Cricetulus griseus: one gene and its partner. The protein of the gene in region 1 binds, or shares a complex with, the protein of each later gene. Links are inferred from orthologs where the notes say so. Each region holds a gene or a part of one and is shown on either strand. Other genes may lie near its edges. The genes, in order: Flt3 and Flt3lg.

Evidence for each region.
Region 2: the proteins of Flt3 (region 1) and Flt3lg are in contact, whole or in part, in a crystal structure (PDB 7QDP), measured with the Homo sapiens proteins. The link is inferred for Cricetulus griseus from reciprocal best matches to the Homo sapiens genes FLT3 and FLT3LG. Residues at the interface, in NP_004110.2 of Homo sapiens: Asp180, His279, Gly280, Phe281, Gly282, Met300, Ser301, Thr302, Tyr303, Asn306, Arg307, Met309, Arg311, Ser333; in NP_001191431.1 of Homo sapiens: His34, Ser35, Pro36, Ile37, Ser38, Ser39, Asp40, Lys44, Lys87, Glu99, Asn102, Thr103, Glu104, His106, Phe107.

What each region holds. Positions count from the first base shown.
Region 1 is NC_048597.1:83,194,171-83,197,399, forward strand, and holds part of Flt3 (receptor-type tyrosine-protein kinase FLT3), read right to left. Parts: intron 2,955-3,229; coding exon 2,843-2,954; intron 2,479-2,842; coding exon 2,379-2,478; intron 1-2,378. UniProt on the Homo sapiens protein: Tyrosine-protein kinase that acts as a cell-surface receptor for the cytokine FLT3LG and regulates differentiation, proliferation and survival of hematopoietic progenitor cells and of dendritic cells.
Region 2 is NC_048599.1:154,016,517-154,019,068, forward strand, and holds the end of Flt3lg (fms-related tyrosine kinase 3 ligand), read right to left. Parts: intron 1,611-2,552; exon of another isoform or gene 1,532-1,610; intron 864-1,531; coding exon of another isoform or gene 856-863; coding exon 730-855; 3' UTR 643-729; downstream 1-642. UniProt on the Homo sapiens protein: Stimulates the proliferation of early hematopoietic cells by activating FLT3. Synergizes well with a number of other colony stimulating factors and interleukins. Required for the development of B cells, and dendritic cells (DCs).

The DNA of each region.
Region 1 (3,229 bases):
AAGGAGTCTTAAGCCCTGGAGTACTGCCTGTTAGGAGAGCAAAGTTACCTGAAGCAAAAGACAAAGTTTTTCTCTGCTTGTCTTATTTGTTTGTTTGCTTGCTTGTTTGTTTATAGCCTTGCTATTAGGACAGGCTAGCCTACTATCTCAAGCCTCATCTCTGAAGTGCTGGGATTATAGGCAACTATCCCCAAGCCCTTCCTGCTGCTTCTTCCTCCTGTCTCTTGAAACTTTTCATTGATTGATTGATTTTTTTCAAGACAGGGTATCACTGTTTTGAAACTCTAGCTGTTCTTGAACTCACTAGGTAGACCAGACTGGCTTCAATTCAGAGATCCTCCTGCCTCTGCCTCCCAATGCTGGGATGCTGTGGAAAACCCTTACACTGTGTAAAGATGTGGCATTGCAGAGGAACCTTGGGGTGACTCTCCAGACAGCCAAATGTCTCTGTCATTTCTATAGTTTTGGAAACTGCTTTCTTTCTACTCCCTGCTTACTCAGGTAATATTTTATCCTTCTTGAGTCTCTGTTGCGGATTGAAGATTAGATAGTTATAGTTTGAGTTTTCCTTGTTATCAAATTCAGAAAAAAAAACTTACATAAGAGATGTAAAGTTTATAAGGTTGAGAAACATAAAAACTTAAGTTATTTATCTAAAAAGATGTTTTAAGGTCTAAAAAGATGTAATGTAAGTCATGACAAAAATGGTTTAGGTATAAAACTTTGGACTAAGATAGGATAGATAATGGAGTATTTTCTCTAAATTTGGACTGGACATTGTGAATGTAATTTTTTTTTAAGATTTATTATATATACAGTGTTCTGTCTGCATGTATCCCTTCAGGCCAGAAGAGGGCACCAGATCTCATTTCAGATGGTTGTGAGTCATCATGTGGTTGCTGGGAATTGAACTAGGGACCTCTGGAAGACCAGCTAGTGTTCTTAACCACTGGGCTATCTCTCCAGCCTGTGAATGTAATTCTTACCTGATAACTGTTCCTATTGTTTATAGGTTTACCATATTAGAATTAAGACCTTTCTTATTTTTGCCAGGCGGTAGTGGCACATGCCTTTAATCCCAGCACTCGGGAGGATCTCTGTGAGTTTGAGACCAGCCTGGTCTATAAGAGCTAGTTCCAAGACAGCCTCCAAAGCCACAGAGAAACCCTGTCTCGAAAAAACAAACAAACAAAAACAGACCTTTCTTTTTTATTTAGACAAAAGGGGGAAATGTGGAATATTCCTTTACAGTGTGTGAAGATGTGTCACTGTGATTGGCAGGAGGTATGGGCGGGACTCTGGATAGAGAGAGCTCTGGGAAGAAAAAGGCAGAGTCACCAGCTGGGCAGAGAGGAAGCAGGATGGGGAGCACAGAATAAAGGTAACTGAGCCACATAAGAGAACGATGATTAAAAAATATGGGTTAATTTATTTATTTATTTATTTAACAAGATCTAGTTAGGAGCAAGGCTAAACTAAGGCTGAGCTTTCATAATTAATAATAAGTCTCCATGTCATTTTTTGTCAGCTGGTGGTGCAAAAAGAAAAGCCTGCCTACATGGGATTAAAGACATGTGCCACTGCACCAAGCTTTCTCTGCTTTTAGAGATCAAGGGCAGGAGAGATGGCTCAAATGTGTCTTTTGATTTTTTTGTTTTGTTTTGTTTTGTTTTTTCGAGACAGGGTTTCTCTGTGGCTTTGGAGGCTGTCCTGGAACTAGCTCTTGTAGACCAGGCTGGTCCCGAACTCACAGATATCCGCCTGCCTCTCCCTCCCCAGTGCTGGGATTAAAGGAGCACACCACCAATGCCGGGTCAGGTGGCTCACATGTTAAAAGCACTGACTGCTCTTCCAGAGGTCCTGAGTTCAAGTCCCAGCAACCACATGGTGGATCACAACCATCTGTAACTGTTGTCTCATGGGATCCAATGTACATGCAGACAAAACATCCAAATACATAAATAAATAAATCTTAAAAAAAATAAGAAGAAACCTAAGCAATGTAATAGGAAAGTGATTTTTAGTTGGGTGTGGTGATATATGACTTTAATCCCATCAACTGGGAGACAGAGGCAGGAAGATCTCTGAGTTCAAAGCCAGCCTGGTTTACAGAGTAAATTCCAGGACAGCTACACAGAGAAACCATCTCAGAAAACCAAAACCAAACAAACAAAGCAATCAGTTGTTCTTTTTTGTTATTTTGGTTTTTTTCTTCCCCCAGAGCTGAGGACCGAACCCAGGGCCTTGCGCTTGCCACAAGCGCTCTACCTCTGAGCTAAATCCCCAACCCCCACAATCAATTGTTGTATCATGCATTTGGAAGATTTACAGCACACAGTAAATGTCCTGCTATCAACCCCCAGTCTGATTGTACTTACATCTCTTCCGTAGCATAGAATGGCTGGTCCATTTTAAATCCACTCTGAATCAGTTTATAGAAGTTAGCATCAACAGGAATGCCAGGGTAAGGGTTCACACCTGAGAAAAACACAAGCTCAATGGGGCCACACAAACATTGGTTTTCCATGTTTTGTTGTTGACGTTTATATGTTCTGTTGGCAAACAGGCAAAGAGAATTCCTCAGTGACCTTGACTGAGGGCTGCAAGTGGACCCAGAAGTCCCAAGGCCTCCGAATCAGTCATAGTTAAGGCAGATCTTGGCAGGTCAACAACTCATAAACAGTGACAACAGAAGCCAGAAGCGAGGCCAGGAGCCACTGGAGCGACTGGGTGGTGTTTCACCTACCTTCTGACTTGGATGACAGAAGGGTGGAGGAGGGGTGCAGAGGGAGCAGGAGACACAAAGCCAGAGCCCTGGGAGACCTGCCATGTGCATACATACCCAGTGAGAATATCTCCCAGAGAAGGATTCCATAGGACCAGACGTCACTCTTGATTGTGTAGATACCTTCAAATAAGCTCTCGGGTGCCATCCACTTCACAGGTAGCCGTGCCTGCATCAAATACAAGAGAGGATGGTGAATCTCCCATGTGCAGAATCATGGATTTTTAAGTTTTTGTTTTTAGCTTTATGTGCATGGGTGTTTTGTCTGCATAGATTTAAGTGCACCACATGCATGCAGTGCCAGAGAAGGCCACAAGGGGGTGTCAGTTCTCTCTGGAACTGAGTTCTAGTGGTTCTCAACCTTCCTCATGCTGCTACCCTTTAATACAGTTCAGGTTGTGGTGACCCCCAACCACAAAACTACTTCATTGCTACTTCATAACT
Region 2 (2,552 bases), on another chromosome or scaffold:
GTCTCGCAGTGTCCGCGTCCCCTCCCTTCAACCTCATGGTGTGCGGACAACTGATGGCCTTTCTTGAATCTAGGAGTTTCCGAATGTTAAACCGGTGGAGGTAGTCACCCCAGAAGGAAGAGACGGTGGGAGGAAGGACTTGCAGGGTCCTGGGCCGCAGACACGTGCTTCTGTTGCAATGGCCTTTGTATCGGCTAAGCATGCCATCTGAGATACCCTCCCTGAGGGGTACCTATACCTCCCACAACAAAACACAGATTGGGCCGTCTCACTGACTCACTTTCTCTAGAGAACCTCCCCAAACTCCCCAGCCTGACTCGATTCCTCCTGGAGGCTCCAGCACTTTGTTTTCCTGCCACTTGGTGGCTTTATGATCTTGCTTCTGCCTCACATCGGGGTTCTGTTAGAGAGAGCATCACCCAGTGCTGACCCTGGGCCATTGGTGGCCTCAGAAAACAAACCTGTTGTCGTGGTTTTGGCTTCTGACATAGTATTTCTGCAATCCTGGCTGGCCTTAAACTTGAGATCCTGCCTCAGCTTCTGGGGAGGTGGGATTACATGACCAAGCCCCGCAAAACCAAGATCCTGAGACCTAAAGCAGCCCACCCACTCCCTGTCCCGTCCACAGATAGGTCCGGAAGATCTGGTAAAAACCATTTATATACAAATTCATGGGAGCAAGGAGTTTGTACAGAGTGGGGTGAGTGGGGCTGGGTCCTGATGTTGACTTCATCCTGGGGAGAGGGCTGGAGGGGCAGCAAGGTCCAAGAAGGGGCCAGGCTCTACCCAACTTTCCCTGTGTCCAGGTTGTGCAACATCTGTCAGGTGACGCCTGCTTGGCCTCAGTATCCTCCTCTGTAAAACTGGATCATCAATGGTCTGTCTGAAGACTGGAGTTCTCAGCACCCTTCAAGCCCTCTACCACTGAGCTTACACCCTCCCACCTCTCCCTGCCCCTCCCTACACCCACCCCACCCCCCTTTAGGCTAGCCTCGAATTTCTGTGTATTAGTAGATAACCCAGAATCCTGACCCTTCTGCCTCCCCTCCAGGGTGTAGGAACTCGGACTTGCACCACAAAATCTACTCCAAGTTTTTTGTTTTTGTTTTTTCCGAAGGGAGTCTTACAGCCAGGTGTGGTGACACACACCTTTAATCCTATGGCTGAGGAAGCAGAGGCTGGTGGATCTCTTGAGTTCCAAGCCAGCCTGATCTACACAGCAGTTCCAAATCAGATAGGACTACAAGAGACCCTGTCTCAAAACAAACAAACAAATAAACAAATCATGGCCCTCAAACTGGCTTAAAGGATAAAAGGCCTCGGCCACCAAGCCTGAAGGCCTGAGTTCCATCCCTGGGGCCCACTGGTAGAAGGAGAGCATGACCAACTCCTGCCAGTTGTCCTGTGACTTGTACACAGGCACCATGGTACACTTACACAGCCCCTATGTGTAATAATTTTTATTTGTTTGGGGAGGGTTGAGTGTAAATTTTTCAAAAGAGGAATTACTGTCTGGTGTGATAGTACATACCTGTGATCCCAGCACTCCAGAGGTAGAGGCAGGAGAATGGATTACCCAGGAGTTCCAGGCCATCTGAGCTACAGAGACACTAGTTCAAAAAATAATAAATAAATAGGATTGGGATTATAAATATGTACCACTATGTCTGATAAGTGGTGTGCATTTCAGAAACATGCCCAGAAAATGGGAAACCACAAAATTTAGAAACTTCCAGCTTGTTTTAACTAAGCCGACGGCGGGTCTAATTTGGCAGTGTAAATATTAAGTGCAGATGAAGTGTTTCTAGTGACTGTGTGGTGGCAGGTGGAAGCCAGAGCCTTATTTGTGCAAGGGCCCTGTCATCAGCTCCAGCTCAGCATTTCAATTTCTCACTGTTATTTTGAGAAATATCTCTAAATTGTCCAGGCTGGCCTTGACATTTGATTCCTCTGGAATAGATTCCAGGCATGCAGCACCATACCCAGAGCTGGGCTGACAGGAGAACCGCCCAGGGCTACAATGCTCTTCTCTCTCCCTTGTTCTTTCTCTACGTCAGTGCTCCAGCCTCAGAAGTGCTGGAACTGCAGATACTCATCACCATGCTTGGACATCATGTCCTCTGGGCAGGGGATGCAGCTGAGCAGCACAGTGTTTGTCTAGCCTGTTCCTTGTTTTGATCCCTACCTCTAGCATCCAGAAAACAATGAAAAAAGAAAAAGAAAAGCCTCATCTATAACATGTCTATAGGCCCAGCTATTTGGAAAGCTGGGACAGGAAGATTCATGGAGGTGTTCAAAGTCATTTTGGGCAACATACTGACTGAGCCATTGCAAAAAAAATAAGTGTCACTGAACTGAGTGTTTGTTTGTTTGTTTATTTGAGACAGGAGACAAGGGTGCACTGTGTATCTCACAATGGCCTTGAACTCACTGTGTAGCCCAGGCTGGTCAGACCTTTCAGCAGTCCTCCTGCTCTGGCCTCTCAAGTGCTGGGATTACAGGTTTAACCTCTACATTATGCGTATTATGAGTGTAAAACACACAATTCTAAA